3 linked regions of the Cricetulus griseus genome follow. The protein of the gene in region 3 interacts with the protein of the main gene of each other region in a biochemical or structural test. Links are inferred from orthologs where the notes say so. Each region holds a gene or a part of one and is shown on either strand. Other genes may lie near its edges.

Evidence for each region. The genes of interacting proteins can lie anywhere in the genome.
Region 1: the proteins of Tjp1 (region 3) and Cldn7 form a complex in vitro, tested with the Homo sapiens proteins (2 studies listed by BioGRID and IntAct, with this or other methods). The link is inferred for Cricetulus griseus from reciprocal best matches to the Homo sapiens genes TJP1 and CLDN7.
Region 2: the proteins of Tjp1 (region 3) and Cgn form a complex in vitro, tested with the Homo sapiens proteins (2 studies listed by BioGRID and IntAct, with this or other methods). The link is inferred for Cricetulus griseus from reciprocal best matches to the Homo sapiens genes TJP1 and CGN.

Annotation. Positions count from the first base shown.
Region 1 is NC_048600.1:83,813,376-83,818,741, reverse strand, and holds Cldn7 (claudin-7), read right to left. Parts: upstream 2,166-5,366; coding exon 1,943-2,165; intron 1,156-1,942; coding exon 991-1,155; intron 880-990; coding exon 795-879; intron 707-794; coding exon 544-706; downstream 1-543. UniProt on the Homo sapiens protein: Plays a major role in tight junction-specific obliteration of the intercellular space.
Region 2 is NW_023276806.1:61,736,665-61,742,906, reverse strand, and holds the start of Cgn (cingulin), read right to left. Parts: upstream 2,844-6,242; 5' UTR 2,835-2,843; coding exon 1,980-2,834; intron 1,434-1,979; coding exon 1,333-1,433; intron 1,207-1,332; coding exon 1,137-1,206; intron 1,044-1,136; coding exon 948-1,043; intron 1-947. UniProt on the Homo sapiens protein: Probably plays a role in the formation and regulation of the tight junction (TJ) paracellular permeability barrier.
Region 3 is NC_048596.1:131,895,891-131,903,489, reverse strand, and holds the start of Tjp1 (tight junction protein ZO-1), read right to left. Parts: upstream 4,423-7,599; 5' UTR 4,007-4,422; coding exon 3,980-4,006; intron 1-3,979. UniProt on the Homo sapiens protein: TJP1, TJP2, and TJP3 are closely related scaffolding proteins that link tight junction (TJ) transmembrane proteins such as claudins, junctional adhesion molecules, and occludin to the actin cytoskeleton.

The DNA.
Region 1 (5,366 bases), on a different chromosome or scaffold from region 3:
AAAGAAAAGTATATGTTGTGGGTAGGGGCTGGAGAGATAGCTCAGCAGGTAAAGGCAGTTGCCACAAGCCTGGTGACTTGAGTTCAATCCCTGGAACCCACAGAAAGGTAGAAGGAGAGACCTCCTTCCACAAAGCTGTCTCTGACCTACACATGCACACCCATATAGCATTGACCACACAGGATAGTACTTAATGAGAAAAAGAGTTTGGGGAGAATGGGTAAGAGCCTAAAAAATTAAGGACTAAAGGCCTAGGGGTACAACTGGCACTTCACTCAGTTCGATGTTACTATAGGCACACTTCAGTGCCAACTCCTGTGTGAGGATCCAGGTGTGGAGAAAGGAGGCCTGAAAAGACACCTAATTTCCAAAACTTAATTTTTATTACTGTACAAAAAGCACACCCTATGTTTTGTCGTAGTCTCCCAGTCCCTCCTCTACCCCCCCACCCCCTCCCCGCCCCCAGGACTGTACATGGTGTTCAGGGATGGAGTGACCCGGAGGCCTTTGTCCCACACCTTGCCCACAGGCCGAGCACCCGGCTCACACATATTCCTTGGCAGAATTCGACTTAGGGTAGGAGCGGGGTGCACGGTATACAGCTTTGCTTTCACTGCCAGGACAGGAGCAAGAGAGCAGGGCACCTCCCAGGAGGACCAGAGCAGACCCTGCCCAGCCAATAAAGATGGCAGGACCAAACTCATACCTGTGGAGAGAAAGGATTGGAGTCAACTGGGGCTTGATGTCCTCCTCCCTGTCCCAAGTCCACAGATTTGTCTCCCTAGAAGACTTACTTAACATTCATGGGTGTCAAGGGGTTATAAAAGTCCGTGACAATCTGATGACCAATCCAGGAGCATGCTACCAAGGCAGCAAGACCTAGAAAGAGAAAAAAAGATTCTGCTATTTATTGGGTGTCCAAACCAAGACCTTGGCATGCTGTTCTGGGTGGAAAAGAGCACTTGATCCCACGTTGGACCTGTGGCTCACCTGCCACGATGAAAACAATGCCTCCGGTCATGGCTATACGGGCCTTCTTCACTTTGTCATCACCCCCACAGCTTGTACACTTCATGCCCATCGTGGCGACAAACATGGCCAGGAATCCCAACACCAGGGACACCACCATTAGGGCTCGAGTGGCCTGCAGAGCCGCTGCAGAGGAGGAGGAGGAAGGAGGTCAATGCTGGAAATGGCATGTAGCCTTAGGATGGCGCCAGCCTAAGTGCTGCAAACCGCGCCCACTAACCCCTGGACCGCAGTGTGCCAGTTGGGCTCCACCGCCAGCCTGGGGCCCCCTCCGTCCAAGACAGTCCTTGGGCAGACAGTTCCCGCCCCCATCCCGCCACGACGGCCATCCAGCTCCCCGCCCCGCCCCAGCTTCAGAACCCGCCCGGGGCGCCGAGGTTTCGATGAAACCGCGCCAGGTAGGGGGAAGGGAGGAAGAAAGGGGGCGAAAGGGAAGTGCAGGTGGCGGCCAGGGCCCTCGTTTGAGCCACACGGGCCGGCGCGTGTCCTAGCTCTGCCCTCGCTATCGAGGCCACCGGGTTTGTGGCTTCAGCTAATCGGCCGATAAGATTAGAGGCCACAAGTGCGGTCCCACGTCTAACGAGGGCACCACTGCGGCCCTAGGCGCCTCCGTCCCGACCCCCGTTTGTCCCAGAGAAAGAAGCAGCAGACAGAGACCACTGACTGCCCAGGGGCAAGGGGCGCCTCTTCCCAGGACTCCCCACTTCAAGCGGGGCAGAGGGGCGTGAGCCCACGTGTGACTGCCGGGTCCCAGGCCCTCTTCCTCCGGATCCCACCCGACTGGGCTCAAGGCGTCCACTTCCTGCTCCCTGGCAACCCCGGGCGCCAGGCCGTGCGACCTCAGCCCTGCCCCACACCCAACCCCGCCACCTTGACTCCGGGCACGTCCGCCCCGTCGGTCCCGCGGCCTTACCCGGCAGGGCGAGCACTGAGTCGTACGTTTTGCAGCTCATCATGCCGGTACTCTGCGTGACGCACTCCATCCAGAGCCCCTTGTACATGGCCTGGGCTGTGATGATGTTGTCGCCAGCATACGAGCTCATCTGCCACTGAGGAATGGCAGTGCTCGCTATCAGGCCCACCCAGCCAAGCATGGCCATTGAAAAGCCCAGCAGTTGCAGGCCCGAATTGGCCATTTCCGTCTCAGAAAAGATGGGACGCGCCGGGAGGGCGACCCTACAGTAAAACAAAATCCGGGAAGCAACACAAGAAAATTTGGACGGAGGTTTAAGTCACCCAGAAACAGGAAAAAAGAAAGTTTTGGGTTTGTTTGGTTTTTTTTTGGGGGGGGGAGCGGTTGGCCGGTTAACTGTAAATCTTGTTAACCGAGGTAAAAACAAATCGTCCCCTCCGGTGAAGCGACACTCACAGCAGAGGGAACCGGCTTCGCCCGAAGGACTGGTTCCAGACAAAAGGGGCCCCCGAAGGCCAGGCGGCTCCCTCCGGCGTGCGCAGAGACTACCCAAAGAAGTGGAGGGGCCGCTAGGGCGTGGCCCCCAGAAAGTACGCGGGCCCCCGGGCCCAGGCTGCGGTGCTCGGCGGAGAGCTGGGCGGCGAGCAGCAGGTGCGGGCGGACAGGTGCGGCGCACCTGAGTATATATGTAGGGCGTCGGGGACGCGCTCCCGCAGGCAACGGGAGCGCGGGAGCCGGGGCGGGACCAGAGGGGCAGTGGAGGGTGACCTGACGTCACCGAAGGGACACTCACCTGAACCGGAAGTCTTGGCCCCCACCCCCTCCTTGTCCAGCCAGGTGAAGAGGAAGAAACCTGAGCGCAGCGTCACGCCCCTTCATTTGCCTGGCTCTAACCGCTGATGGGAAGTAGGTGAGGGCGTCGCACGAGTCCCTGGAGTCTCCGCTGCGGACTCCAGAGTGCCCCTTCCTTTCTTCTGCAGACAGGTGCGCCTGGGTCACTGCGGAGCCAGTCCCCTAGACGCCCTGGAAGGGCTCCCGGCCGCGCTTTCCCTGCGGGTTTCGGCGCGTACTCTTTGTCCAGCCCTGCTTTCGCCTCCACACTCACCTTTTTTCTTCAGTCTCCTACCATGGCCAATGCTGTCTTCAGGAGCCCTAGCCCGTTATGATAAAAATCACAGGTGCTACACCCTTCTAGGAATTTCTGCCTCGGAGACATGGTCTGGCAACCCTCCGCTTCACGGCTCAAGCCCTCCACGCAGGCATGGCTCTTCAGCGGCTCCACATACTGGTCCCTGAGGCCAGTACGGATAACAGGACTTACTACCCGAGCCTGTCAGTGCCTCCTCCAACATCCAGGCTCCTTCTTCCCAAAGGAAGAAAGCACAGAAACCCTTTCCTCCCAGGGTGAGGAAAGAGTAGAGTAGAACCTAGGTCAGAGTCGCTGCCACACCCAACATTCCCCTCCCCAGGTGTCGTTTCAAGCTTACCCTCCACTCTCACCTCCTTCCCCAGACACACTTTCCCTCATCCTGAGCCTCCGGGGTCCTATGTGTGTCTTTTCACACCACCTCCCACCCACTCTAGCCTCTGACTCCCCAAGGTGTCCTTGACACACCCCTAAAGAACCGGATCTCAGACTTCCCAAAGTTTGGCGGCATCCTTCTGCCCAACGTAAAGTTTCTCATTCCTCCCTTTTGCATTTTTGCTCCCTTTCAGTCTGTTTGCACCCTCCAGAGCCTAGCCGTCCAACCACACAATGTGCCTGTCACTGCCTTCCCTAACCCCCTTTTTAGTTCTTTCTCCTAGCTTGCCTCTCCTAGGACCTCCTTACCTCTCTCAGACTTTCATACATCTTTCTTACTCTTGCTATTGCTTGTTTATTTGGGCTCCCGGGGTGGGGGAGTAGTAGGGTTCCTAGACAGGGTTTCTTTGTGAAGCCCTGACTGTCCTGGAACTCACTCTGTTGACCAGGCTGGCCTCGAACTCACAGAGATCCGCCTGCCTCTGCCTCCCGAGTACTGGAACTAAAGGCGGCATGCGCCACCACTGCCCTTCTTGCTATTTTTCAGTCAGCCCCTTCCCCTTCCCCACGTTCTTCCTTCCCCTAATACATCTCTCTGTTAACCCTCCCTTCATTTATCCAATAAAGGTCCTGCTTGTTCAGCTAACTAACCTGCTTTTGTATAAAATGCAGACCTTTGTGGACTCTCTTATTTGTGACCTTTTGACTTTTGTTTTGTGGGGTGGTTTGGTTGGTTGGTTAACTTTGAGACAGGATCTCACTATATAGACTAGGCTAGACTGAACCTTACAGGAAGGCTGCCTGGCTCTGCCTCTGGCATGCTGCTGAGATTACAGACCTGAACTTCTGTGCACAGCTGGGATTTTTTTTACGTTTTTTTTTTTTTTTTTTTTTTTTTTTTTTTTCCTGCTTGGATGTGGTTGGTGCATGCTAAAGAACAGTTTGAAGCCAGCCTTCCAGGAGAGTGTCTTCCAGCTCTGAAAGTCCATGTTTCTCATTATCCCTTTGTTTTTATAACCAGCAATCATTCTCACAGCCACATGCCAACCTACTATCTACTACCTGAAGACCACAACTGGCCCCAAATCAATTTCCCTGCTTCTGCCCTTTCCTAAATCCACTCCCCAGAGTACCCAATATACTTAAATCTTGCCATTCTTTTTTAAAACAGCACTTAGTGAGGGGAGAGGGGCTTGGGAGATAGCTCAGCAATTAAGAGAGTTTACTATTCTTGCAGAGGACCAGAGTTCAGTCTCCAACACTCACACTGTGACACTCAATCCTGTTACTCCAGTTCTAGGTGATCCATTGCCTCCTCCTCCTCCTCCTCTTCGTCTTCTGTTTCTTTTTGAGACAGGGTCTCTCTGCATACCCCTAGCTGTATTGGAACTTGCTCTGTAGACCAGGATGGCCTCAAACTCAAAGATCTGCCTGCCTCTGCCTCCCAAGTGCTGGGACAACTGGCATCATCATCATCACTTTTTTCTAACTTTTTTGGTTTTTGTGAGACAGGGTCTCTCTTTGTAGCCCTGGTTGTCCTGAAACTTGCTATGGAAACCAGGCTGGCCTTGAATCACAGAAATTCTCCTGTTTCTGCTAACTGAATAATTGGATTAAAGGAGCTAGAATTTGCAGGGCAGTGGTGGCACATACCTTTAGTCCTTAGCACTCAGGAGGCAGAGGCAGATGGATCTCTGTGTTCTACAGAGTGAGTTCTAGGACAGCCAGGGCTACACAGAGAAACCCTATCACCCTGTCTCAAAAAAAGGGGGGGGGGGCTGGGCAGTGGTGGCGCACGCCTTTAATCCCAGCACTAGGGGGGCAGAGGCAGGTGGATCCCTGTGAGTTCGAGACCACCCTGGTCTATAAGAACTAGTTCCAGGGCAGCCTCCAAAGCCACAG
Region 2 (6,242 bases), on a different chromosome or scaffold from region 3:
ACTCTGCCCTTCCAACCCCAAAAAGAAAAGAAAAAATAAAAAAGTGTCCATAAGTTTTAGAGGAAGAGTGGATGCACTGTTTCATCCTTTCTCTACAGCTTACTACCACAAGCAATTCCCTTAACATCTCTGATGTTCAGGGTCTCTCATCAGAAAAGATCCATAGCATACTTGCACAGCCACTGTAATGATTATGTATTACCCAGGGCAGCATCTGCCATAAAAATTATACTCAAAAAATGACATTATTATCATTACCATCATAATGATGATGAGAAAAAGACTCAAGACACTTAGAATGTAAGTAATTTTCTTTCTTTCTTTTTTTTTTTGAGACATGGTTTCATGTGACCCAGTCTGTCTTCAAATGTGATAAATAGCCAGAGAGGACCTTGAATTTTTGATCCTCCTGCCTTTACTCCCTGAGTGCTGGGCTTATAAGCAAGTACCACAGTTGGTTGTAGTCACACTAGGGATTGAACCTGGGACATTTTATGCATGCAGAGTGAGTATTCTATCAACTCAGCTACACCCCTGGACAGAGAACAAAGGAAAGTTTCTAAGCTTTTTACAAGCAGTCAATAGCAGACCCTGGACAAGGACTCCTAGGGAAAACGAAAAGGAAGTAATTAGACCTCTAATGTGTTCCACCCATTAAGTCCCAGAGAAACTCAAAGGCCTTGCTGGGACACTGACTTCCTGTCTCACACATAGAGACAGCACCGACTCAGGAGACCCAGGCCAGATGGGCATGGTGGCTCATGCCTCTGAGTCCACAAATCGAAGAAGATCTCTGTGACTACAAAGACAGCCAGGGTTACTCAGCAAGACACCCCCACACACATACACACACATACACACATACAAAAGAGCCAGTCTAGCTCGTCCCCAGGACATTCATCTTCCCTGTGGCCCTTCACCTCTCCCACACCTCTAGCCTGCCTTACCTTCACCTCCTCATCCAGCTTTTTCTGGAGCTCCTCCACTTTTCGGGTAAGCTCACCCTGCCCTGCCAGGGCCTTAGTAGAAGCAGGAGAAACCATCTGCCAGAGGTATAGGAGACAAGGGGGCGGGAAGTGAGTCCAAACCCCTAGAGGCCTCCTGGCCCAAGTCTTGACCCCAGGAAGGTCACTCACCCCCACAGGCTGCATCTGCTCCAACACCAAACTAACTTTCCTCCTTACAGCTGCTTCACTTTCTGAGCTTCTGGAGGACAGAAGGACAGAAGCAACAGTGAACAGAGGGGAGGGAAGATGAGGAAAGAGATGGGAAGGGAAGGCAGAGGGACAAGAAAGGAAGTGTATGTCCCACTACCGGGGGGACCCCACTCACCCCTCCCTTAGGATGCCATAGATGGTGGCCTTCACATGGTCCGCGCTGCCTGGCGGTGCTGCCTCCCGCTGGTCTCGGAGAAGGTCTGGAGTTGATTTGAACTGTAGGAGAAACGAAGGGGAAAAAAGGAAGGAGAGAAGACGCCAGAGTACATATGTGGTTCAAATGGAACACAGGTGACAGCGGAGAGGCGAAGCCTAACTCAGCATAACTAACAATGCTGCTCAGGACACACTGTGTGCTATCAATGCAAATCACTTTTCTCAATAACCAGCTGGGAGCTATGTCACTAACACCAACAGATGTGCTGGAATTTATAAATGCACACAGAGTTCCAGAACGCACTTAAGTTTGTCTCCCCACCAGGAGAAAGCGTGGACTTGAACTATTAGGGGAGCTTCCATACCCTCCAAGCCTGCATTACAAAAGGTGCTGGACCTAAAGAATTAACCTTTGCCGATGACTGAAGAATGACTAATTTCTCCATGCTCATTTCCATTTTCCTTAGAAGTTTACCCATGAATGTATGTCACCTAAGTGGATAAGATGGAGAACAAAAGGCAGAGACTATCTGCCCTGAATTAACAAAGGATTCCGTGGGCTGATGCAAAGCTGAGGGTTGGCAGTGGGGAGGGATGACTTCTGACCTGCACCGTGGTGGGATCCGGTATTTTCTCCCGTGGTTCCTCAAAGCTCTGTAGGACCCAGTCTTGAGTCTGCCGGGAACGGCTAAAGCTGCTGAGAGGGCTCTGGCTCTTGGATGGCTGCTTTGAACTGTTCACTTGGTTGTCATACTTTGTGCCAGGGGTCCAGTGGTTGGGGGACTGGTGTTCCCGATCCCGATCGTGGGTATCCCGTGACAGCCGGCTGTCCAGACTCTGGCTCCGCTTGCGCTGTTCATGAGGAAGCGTCCGCGTGCGGCGGCCAATCCGGCCCCGGCCCTGGCCCCCGATTTGACTATCAAACTTGTTGATGAGTGAGTCCACTGAAGACAAGGGGGCAGTGTCAATGGTGTTAACCGGGGGAGTCTTTTCAGGGGCTAGCTCCAACAAGCTGGTGCTCCTATTGGTAGGACTCACAGAAGCAAGCCCTGTCAGAGAGGCTTGCGACTGGGATCGGAGCAGTCTTCCATTCCAGTGGTCCTTGAGCTCCTCATCAGATGTGCTGCCCTGAGAAGCGGCAGGAACCCCCTTGAATTGAGAGTAGGGGTTCTCAGGGATCTCTGGATCAGAGCTCGGTGTTCCTGGGGACCCCCGGTTGTTGCCCCCCTTGATTTGGACCCCAAAGGAGTCACTCCCCTTCTCTCCACTGTTAAGCACCACAAAAGGCTGTCCAGCAATGCCCTGCACACGCACAGCGACCCCATAGGTACTGGCTCTTGCATCCTTAGGAGGGCGTCTCCCACCGCGACGAAGGGTACCCATCTCAGTAGCACCCTCCGGCTCTGTGATAAAGCGAATTTGGACTCCATGGTCTACAGGACCCCGAGGATCAGCCATCATGTGTGCCTGCTCCACATGTAGGAGAAGGGGTCCTAGAAGATAAAGAAAACAGTTTTTAGCTGAGGAGCCTGAAGTAGACACCCAGCTTTAAGGACGTTGACTACCTTGTCTGTTTCTTCTATAGAAATGCAGTATATGGGAGTCTACCCCAGTTTCTGACTTATTAGTCCTGGAGCTGGACCTGAGAATTTGAATTCCTCAGCAACTTCTCTCGGGTGATGCTGATACTCCCAGTCCAGATAGCACACTTTGAAGGCTAGGAAGGTAGTTCGTTAGTAGACAGCTTGCCTAGTATGTATAGGTCCTTCTAACATAAAAGGAAAAAAATATAAATAAAACAGGTAATATACTTTGAGGCCCACAGACCCAAAATAATTTATTTCCTGTGATGTAATCCTGGGGATTGTGGCTTATTAAGACTTTGAGGATGTCTACTGATCTTCACATACAACACAGCCAAGGGTCTCTCCCATGTAAAGGTGGATGCCCAACCTTGCCTATCTGATTCCTCCAACTCCCTTAAAAAAAGAAGCCCCCTATTGCAGAGTTTATTAAAACATATAGATCACAAAATGTGGCATCCATCTCTGGGAGGGCACTTAAACTGATACTGATACAGCAGTCATGTCTCTGGAGTGAAGGTACTGAGGGCTGGACAGACAGAGGAGGTTTACTTTCTGGGCTTCCCACTGTGTAGCTTTCTGTCCTTCTGAACTTCATACTGTGTAGATGTACTGCCTATTTGAGAAAGGACTTCTAGCCAGGTTGTGACTTGGTGGTATAGCATTTGTCTAACGTGTGAGATCTGGATTCAATCCCCAGCACCAAGAGAGAAAAGAAAGGAGGAGGGACTTAAACATGATTTTTTTCTTTTTTTTTCTTTTTTTCTTTTTTTTTTTTTTTTTTTTTGGCTTTTTGAGACAGGGTTTCTCTATGGCTTTGGAGGCTGTCCTGGAACTAGCTCTTGTAGACCAGACTGGTCTCGAACTCACAGAGATCTGCCTGCCTCTGCCTCCCGAGTGCTGGGACTAAAGGAGTGAGCCACCAAGGCCCGGCTGAGGACCTTGATTTCTGATCCTTCTATCTCCACTTCTTGCATACAAAGGCTAGCCACTGGGCCTGGTTTTATGCAGTGTGGGCTGGAACTCAGGGCTTCATGTATGCTAGGCAAGCACTCTACCAACAGAGCATTAGCAACCTTTAAATAGGTTTTTAGTGTGCCAATCCAAGAACCCATAGGAGACAGGCTGTGGGATAGAGCCAGGGCCATTCACAGGCCAACTTCCTGGGCCACATCGCCTAAGCTTAGAGTCAGTAAATGGAATGTGTTCCAGGTGTACTCTGACTCCTGGAACTTGGGAGGGAGATTTTTGTTCCAAGCAAATTGAAGGACAACCAATGCAGCTTCCTCATGCCTTCTGCTGGTCTCTACTGGAGCCCAGCAATGAGCTGGTGGGAGGAACCTCAGGTGTGCCAGACAGAAATGCAATCATATCCAATTCAACCTCCCTGCGGGGCTCTGGGCCAAGTAAACTTGGCAAAGTCCCTCTCGGAGATAGTAGAAGCTCTAGGAAGCCAGAAAACCCGGGCAGCTGAAGGGAGGGGATGCGCAGGAGGGACAGAATCCAGGTGGGGAAGGGTGTGGGGGAGAAATGGACACTGAGGGCACTCTTAGCATTCCCAGACCTTCCCAACTGGAGAAAATGAATGGAAGGGAAAGCCTTTATTGAGAATGATTTACTTTGGGGGTCCTGGGACTGTAAAGCAATGCACCTCCTCCATGACACAGCCCACACAAAGTTTTAACACAGAAATTTTTAAGGTTTTGAGGGCAGAAGGGAGAGGCGCTCCAAATTACTCAAGAAAAAGAAAAGGCACCAGGGCAGTGACTGTCAACCTGTGGGTGGAGATCCTTTTGGAGTCAAATGACCCTTTCACAGGGGTCACCTAAGACCATCAGAAAACATAGACATTTACATATTTACATGCATATCCTGACTCATAACAGTAGCAAAATTACAGTTACGAAGTAGCAATGAAACTTCTTTTATGGCTGGGGGGTCACTACAACATGAGGAACTATATTAAAGGGCTGCAGTGTTAAGAAGGTTGAGAATCACTGTGCTAGAGTCAGCTCTTGTGAGGCTGAGGCAGGAGGATTGCCATGAGTTCAAGATCAGCTTCAGTTGCATAGCGAGACTTTGCCTCACTAAAAATACATAGTAAACAAACTGCTTGCCTCCTTTCTCCACATGCAATAATCTTATAACATGTTTTTTGTTGTTGTTTGTTTGTTTTTTGAGACAGGGTTTAAGTAGCCCAGGCTGGTCCATAGGTCTAAGTAGCCCAAGCTGGTCCTGAACTCACTAAGTAGCTGAAGATTGTTGCTGAGGAAATTGAGGTTCCTTCTCTGGGGTCTTCAGTTTCATTAATACAAGAATTTATAAATGGACTCAGAAGGAAGCTTTAAAACAATTTTATTAGAGTTTGAGGGGGAAAACAACATGGCAGACAAACTGTCAATCTCAGCAGTTGCCAGGAGGAGGGAAATGGAAATATGTTGGCAGAAGTGGGAAAAGAGAAAGCCATGCCTTTAAGAAAGAAGGCAGCTTTAGTAACAGAGGGCAGCATCCAAACACATGGCAGACAAGCAGCTGCATGGCAGAAGGGGCTTCAGAGGAAAAGAGAAAGCCCAGTGTGTATGGAAAAGTATGCCCAAGCTCTGGCAGATAACTAAAAGGAAAAAAGAAACAGAAGATGCAAAATTGTGCTGGTCTCACTGGGAAAAGCAGATAGCTTCTTGCAGAGCTTCCATCATTTACATATACTCCCAGTAGGTTTACCTCAGTTTACCTCTGTACATTCACTGAAGAGATTAGTTCCTGTCTCTTCCACTAGACAATAAGCTCCTCCAGGGCAAAGACCAAGACTCTCAGCAGCATGGAGAATGTAAATGAATAAATCTCTCAAGGCTGTATCCTGAACCAAGGCAGACTCTCCCAGCAACAGAAAGATATGCCCATGAAGGTCTCATAGCATTCTTTGTGCATTAGTAATGGCCGCCTTCCTGGTCTGGACTCTCTGCCCCACAGTCCTGATCTTACAATCAGGTGTCCCTAAACTGCCAGCTCTCAGAAGTCACATGAGTTATTCATGATGACGATCTGCCCTGTCAGTATATCTGCAGATCTTCCAGATCAGGTCAAGGAGCTCCCAAGTAGGCACAGCAAAGTGACCAACCCCTTAGCCCAGAGTGCCAGACAACACAGGGGTGCTACCCAGTGTTCCCCTACAAAGACACCCCCACCCTCAATCGCTATCAGTTCCAGGACACATGGGTCAGGGGCCAGGACTGAGTGATCTTTAGGGTGGGTCAGAAAATAGAGCTCTAAATGATTCAACACGGAA
Region 3 (7,599 bases):
TACAGAGCAGGTAAGTCAGAGGCAGAATCCCAATTCTAGGATTTAAAAAAAAAAAAGTGAAGCTATTGTAATTTATAGAAGCAGTTCTATAAATACCCAACACATGCTCCTTACTATTGGTGAGTTGGGCTAACACTATCACTACAGCAAGCCAGAGGCAGCATGAAGTCTTCCTCAAATCTGAAATAAAAGTTCACTTTACAAGCTCCTGCCATGGAAACATCTATTGGGGAAAATGGCACTGTATCAGTAAGTTATGAAGCTACATAATATAATGAGGACTACCAACCAATTTACATGAAGTAAAGCTTTAATGAACAGCATCTAAAAGGCTGAACACCTACATACTTAAAAGCCTGTGTCTAAAATTCTACATCCTGGTGAAAACTACTGTACAAACTGAGGGGGGGAGGGGTATCAGTAGAACAAAGATCATAAATGGTGGCAGACTCAATAAAGTGAAAATCTTGAGCCTCAAGTGAGTTTTTACTTTACTCTTGAAGTATATGAAGCAAATACTCACTGATCAGTTAAGTACCAAACTAAAATTGTTTAATAGTTCCTCAGCAAACAATCCCTATCCATAAAGACTGGTGGAATAAGTTTTGAACATTAGCTATTTTCTGCAGTTAAAATTCAAAAATGTTCAGCTACTAAAAAAACTAACTGTGCCTCACTTGATAAAGATTCCTGAGAACCCTCACAATAAACAGAGCAATGGTTTAAAAAAGAAAAGTATAAATCATTTTTATACCCATCTACATTATTTCAGACATAGCCACTAGCAAAAACAAAACTGTTTCTCCGACACAAACATTTCATTACACAGCAAAACAATAAGCTAGCCAAGGAAGGCACAATAATTTTTACTGTTTCTCCAAAGTGATACAACTTGAAATTCCAGAAACCATTCAACTCCCTTCAGTAACTGTTGATGGGTCAGCCAATGAAAATGTTCCTAATAATTAATACTATTTTCTTACCTAGTTAAACAATTATTTGGTAAGGCAGAGAACCATCCCCAAATTTCTGTTTTCAACTTCCAAATAGCTGTTACCAAGTACACTAGTAAGCAAAATTCAATGCAAATTCAGATACGCATCATACAGATAAAAGGCTTTTTCCTTTATTTACTGAACATCATGCACAGAGAATCCCTTTTCAAACGTGTGTGTGTGTGTGTGTGTGTGTGTGTGTGTGTGTGTGTGTGTGTGTGTACACGTAGTACTCAGGCATGTGTTGTGAGCTCAAGAGCTTATGTCTCCCTACACATTTCTCCTAGTGCTTTTTCAGTTATTTTTTTCAAACACTTAAAACTTCATGAGGAGCATCGAAGGAAGGATGGCTTAGTGGATAAAGGTGGTTGTAACTCACAGATGCTAGACTGACCAAAGCCACAAAATTGTCATCCACTGGGTTGCCACAGCATGTGTGCATTCCCATCAGACACCCACAATAAATAACAACTACAACAAAGATTCTTCTGGATTTTGTTACATAAAAGAAACATTTTTTTTAAAAAAAGATACCCGCCTTAGTAGTCTTATTTATTGAATAAAGGATCCTTTCCCAATAATCTATTCTTATTTTGACATATATTCAGTTTTCCCTTTTGTTGGGCTAAGAGTGCAAACTATTTCCACTTTCACAGCATTACTGTGAGAATTAAGTGAATTACCAACACAAAACAACCACAGTACATATTAAAAGTTGATCACAAACACTAACAGCCAATAAATAAGTACTATTTATTTATTTCTGAATAATAAGTATTATTTATTTATGGCTGTGTGGCGCCATTCTCTATTCCTGAAGCAATAGCCTACTTTAAATTACTCTGAATTTATAATACATTAGATTATCTGAAAGGACTTTCTCCCTCCATTCATTTATGTGGTAAGATAAACATCAAACTATCATGTTTTCTATAATACCACACTGGAATTCTACTTGGAACTGCACTGCACTTACACATCAATTCAGGGACCATGGGTAGGTTCTGACTCTCTTCACCCAGAGTTTGATTCCCCTAGATTTGGGTAACAAACCATCATTTGTTGTATTTATTCTTAAGTATAGGCTCTGGAGGAAGATTTTAATGGGTATATCAGAATTTCAAATGAACTCTTTGACATAGCAATTTCATTTTTAAGAATTTGCCATACAGTAGTAAGTGGACAGATACAAAAATGTAAATACAATTATTTAAAGTGTACTCATTGCAGTAACAATATCCTGGAAACAAGCCAAACATCTCCTCAAAAAGGCAATGATGACCTGAGCAGCAAGATGAAAATTACTCAACCATTACAAGAATACAGAATCAAAAGCATTGGCTTATACACAAGCTCTACAACTGTTGTGCTGCAAAATTAGTGTCTGTAAAATATTTTAACAGGGGTGGGAAAAACAAAAGCACCCTATGTAAAGCACTGACAGAGTTGAGCTCTTAAGCAAAACAATAAATGTGACTTAGGGAAACAACTGGTTAGCACTGCATTTACCTGTTCACTTATGGTGGGTTCTAGCTTTATGTAGACTTCAAAGTGTGCCCCAATACAGCATCCAAGAAAATAATTCTTCAATTACCAGCTAAGCATGCAAATATTTGACTAGAGAAGCATTGCCATGTTCCATAAAAATCTCAATATCATAATTTATGTGTAAGCACACCTTCTAAATCACCTTGCCATAGCAAGCTATTGGAAACACTTCTCTAGTAATAACACTTTCCAACTGTGTTGTCTTGAATAACAAGTACCAGGGCTCACACTTCGAAACAAAGTGACATTCTGTGTAATATGGCAACAAAGCCTTTCTTCCCAGGAAGTCCCAGCAAAGGTAAATAACAAGTTTTATGTTTTATAAGTAACAAAATGTTGCACTGATTCTAGTTTTTGGTCCCAGGCTTACGTTTTAGATCGGTCATCAATGTGCCTTCAAATAAGATACAAGCATTATTACTAAGGGAGGAATACTCCATTCCTTAAAACAATCTATTCACTACTAACTGTAACCGCTAACTACTGCCAGCCAAAAGACAAGGTCCTATTAAGAATTCAGGCGCTTCCTTCTATCTGCTCCCTAAGGTTATGATTAAGTATTTCTAATAGAAAAATATATAAAATCACCACCTGTTTTAAGTTGTTTGAGTAATGGATTTTTTTTTAAAGGGAGTTTTTTCACTCATCACATTTTGTGTTCCTATCATTGTTTGAAAGACCAAGTACTAAAATGCATAAATGGGAAGAATTCTAACTCGATTTTTAAAATTTTTTGGCTTAATGTAGTACTTAATAACATAAGGCATGCTGTGTCAAGAAACACACTTCAAAACACACGGGGAAATGGACCGGAACGTTGTTTTGTGCAGAATTCATCGGGTATTTTCTGTTGTTGAGTCCATCTTATTGTCCATGTGCAGGGACACTTTGTGATACTTTTGAAAGTTGAAATTAAAGTGTTAAGAACTTTCCTCCTCTGATGCCTCACATAAATATTAAAGCTAAAAAAAAAAAAAATCTTAGCTACTCTCGAGCTGAGTGTTTTGCTGTCTCAAAGCTTTATCGCTGCCATTGCGCATACCGCAGCGGGTGACATCAGATCGAAACTACAGGGTTTCGCCGGGTACCAACCACTCCTCCGGAGACAGCCCGAGCTACCCACCGGCCTGCTGCAGGTGACACCCCTGGGTCTCAGCAGACACGCTCTCGGAGACATGAGAATCCTCACCCGGGGCGACTTTCCAGGCGCGAGACCTGTTGCACGTCGCCTCCCAGCGCGAGCCGGAGCCAGGCACCGGCAGCCGTGCACCTGCCCGGGCGGCAGGCGCGTCTCCAGCCCGCCTTCCTTCCCTGCCTCCCCGCCCCGCCACCGTCGCCCCCGGCTGCCGCCCGCGGGGAGGGCGGGGCGAGGCCCCCCGCAGGGCCCCGGGTCCTCCACCGCCCCGCCCGCAGCCCGGCGGGCCGTGAGCCCTCACCTTAGCGGCCGCGGCCCTGGCGGACATCTTGTCTCTCTCGGCGCCGCGCGAGGCTCCTCGGACCCGAAACTCCGCGCCGCCGGCCCGCCCGCCCGCTCCTCACGCCACCGTCCGCATAAACATCTCCCGGGGACGAGCGGGGCAGGGGCGGGGGCGGCCGGAAAGGCCCGGCCCACGGGGAGGGGATTCAAGTGGGACAAAAGTCCGGGAAGCGTCCGCCCCGCCCGGGCTTCTCCGCGGGGCACACCCGGCCGCCTGCTCGGCCTCCGCCGCCCTCGGCCCGCTCGCCGCTCCGCAGGACCGAGACCCCCGGCCGTCCCCTCCGCCCTCGGGCGTCTCCTCAGAAACCTGCTCCCGCACGTAACTTCCCCGGAACGCGTGGCCGCCGAGAGACGTGCCGTCGGCGGGCAGAGCCGTCGCGGGCAACTCAAGCAGCCACGCAAAACCTGCCGGACCGGGCCACTGAGCATGCCCAGCCGGCGGGGGCGGGGCCTCGGCGAGGGGCGGGGCCAGGCCGGCTCCGACCCCCGCGCGGAAGGAAAAGCTCAGCTCTCCAAGTAACTTGCTAGGCGGTTTCCGCTGCCGCGCGAGCCATCCTGTTTGCTTCTATGAAAGATCCGGCAGAATTCGCCCCGGAGAAGCCCACACCTCTATGTACCTAAGCTTTTCAACTCCCTACGGAGACTTGTCTACTCTCTTCCTAAGCCAGCCACCCCAGATCAGTCCCACGCAGGAGTGTGGCAGGAAAGGCGAGCCTGGCCAATACCTGACTGTGGTTTCCTTAACCTCGCAAGTAACAATGGTCACAACTGTCACCACGTGTCTGGGCATTGTTACCCTATTGAAGAGAGATGTGTTTTTGTTTGAAGTACATCAGAAGCGCTCTAGCAGGCTCAGAACAAGCCAACTGCCTTAAATAAACCAAGTTACAGATCTAGGCATCCAGAGATAATCCCAGCCACTTTCTTTCTCATGCCTCCCTAGACATTTTTGGGCTATCAAGATTGCTGAAATTCTTGGCCCCTGAAGAGATAGACCAGGCTGCCTGCCTTTCTGAAAACCATGCCCTCCAGCTCAAGCTGGACAAAAAAGTATGTAAGTACATGCGGAACTCACCACCAGTTCAATCGGCCACCGCGCAAACTTAGGCCAGCTAGCTACCTTGATGAACAGGAAAAATAGGTAGAAAACCACTTCGAGCTTCATTAAGTTACACTCTGTATACTGCAAAGCTCTTCACAGATATCAAGAATTTTTAGTAACATTAAATAACATCCTTAAAGTACCTATTATAATGCTACGATGGCCAGGCAAGGTAGAGTGGGGCATGAACATAGGGTTAAACAATAGTTTTTAGAATTCAGCTACGTGACAGAATCAAACTTACTTCTAAGAAATATCTGTATATGACAATTAAGATTTCAAAATCATGTGTTTTGCAACTCTAAGCTAGTTGAACTAGAAAAAAAAATTATGCAAACCAAACCCTATTTCTTGCCATGAAAGAAACCAATTAAAGTCATTTTTTTTGTTTTAGTCATATTGCATGTGATTGTTTCAAAGGCAAAGTGCCCTGTGTTCTCTTAAGAAGAGTGATTAAATTTTTCCTCTGAGAAAACAGCATCACAAAACACTTAGATGTTTTGTATTTTTAGAAAGTGGTTATTGAAGGTCTTTCACATCAGTGCGTTAACTTTTAATAAAATGCATTCTGCAAACCTGCCTAGAGGCAGATGGGGTGTGTTATGCACATACTCTTCCTCTTTTCTCTTTGGACAATCTTCTATCATGTCTCCCACTGTATGAATTAAATGTTAGATATCTGCAACTTGTCTCAAATCCAGTATACCTGATTGATCTAATTTTTGTCATGGCTTTAAAAAAATGAAATCAATAAAAACGTTTCACTTTCATAATACTTTGCTTTAAAAAGTGTATCAAAAATTTCCAGTTAACATAACATTTTAAAATTTTCCAATGGTATTTTGAATAATGGAATTACATTATCTAAATTGAACTAAATGTTACACTAGGTAAATTGAACAGATATTCTTAATATCTAAACCAAACTATATTTGTGTATCTTCTCCAAATAGCAAGGGAAGTTCCTATCATTTATAGAAATTAAGCTGCCATAGTGACACCTATTAATTTGTATGCTAATAAAAATAAAGAAATCAGAAAATAATTTTAAAGAAAAACACTGTTGTCAGGAATCTAGCTCTGCCGCCCTACAGTTTATCTGTGGGAAGGTGCTTCAATATGACCTTTCCCCAGATAAACTGGAGTGGACAGAATATAGCATAATCTCTGAGACACACCCTTAACTTGAATAAGAGTTTATCCACTGAACACCAAAAAGTTTTCAAAGTGTACCATGACATTAATGAGTACAGATGAATGTGGCTACATTTTCTCTAGGTTTAAATCAAAAGGGAAGAAATCCAAGTGAGTTAGAGAATCTCATTTAGAGTTACAAGAAAGTTCAACCAAGAATTTCCCTTTGTGTACAGATTTCTTTCTGATCTAATGCAGAGGAACAGGAAACTAAAAACCACAACACTCAGAAGCACAACTTCCTGTGGGATTTCTGGTGTCTGTGGTCAGAATGCAAGAAGCACTAAGCATTCAGAGTCTTTAGAAATCTTAGACTTACTTAATAAAACAGCCCTGACTCAATGAACTATACCTACACTTACATTTTACATATGTGGATTTTTGTTTCCACTGTAAAAACAAAACAAAAAAACAACAACAATCTCTAAAAAAAAAACTTTATTAGTGTTACTTTTGGTAAGAGCTGTGAGTTTACTTTTGAAAAGGAAAGAGGAAATGTTGGGCACCATAAGGTGATCTTGATAACGCAACAGAAGAATACGTACACACACACACACACACACACACACACACACACACACACACACACACACACACCCCAACACTATTAGCAGGTATCATCATTGGATGTTTTGACCAGACCACATCACTAAAGAGTCTGCGAATGGCTTCAGGACTTTCATATGTCACAGAGCTGAGCAAAATGGGGAAGAAACTTTCCGTGACTTGTCAAGTTTCTAGAATCCTTAAACAAGCTGGGCATGGTGTGCACATCTTTAGCCATAGCAGAGGACAGAGGCTGGGGCAGGAGGACCTCAGTGATTCTGAGGCCAGCTTGTCTACATGTTTCCACGACAGCCAGGGCTATATAGGGTGACCTGTCTACATACATACATACATACATGCATGCATACATACGTATGGCTATCAATCCCAATTTTAGTTTATACTTATTTACTTCTCTCTCTCTCTCTCTCTCTCTCTCTCTCTCTCTCTCTCTCTCTCTCTCTTTGTGTGTGTGTGTGTGTGTGTGTGTGTGTGTGTGTGTGTATGATTGAGCACATGCATGTACATACCACACCATATATATGGAAGTCAGAAGACAACTTGGGGGTGGGGGAGTCAGTTCTTTCCTTCTACCAAATAGGTCCCAAGGATCAGACTCAGGTCATCAGGCTCACTAACCTGTTGAGCCATTTCACCAGCCCTTATTTATCTTATTTTAAAGTAAAAATTATAAATTGTATACTTAAAGTTAACTAAAATTTTAGATTATATATATA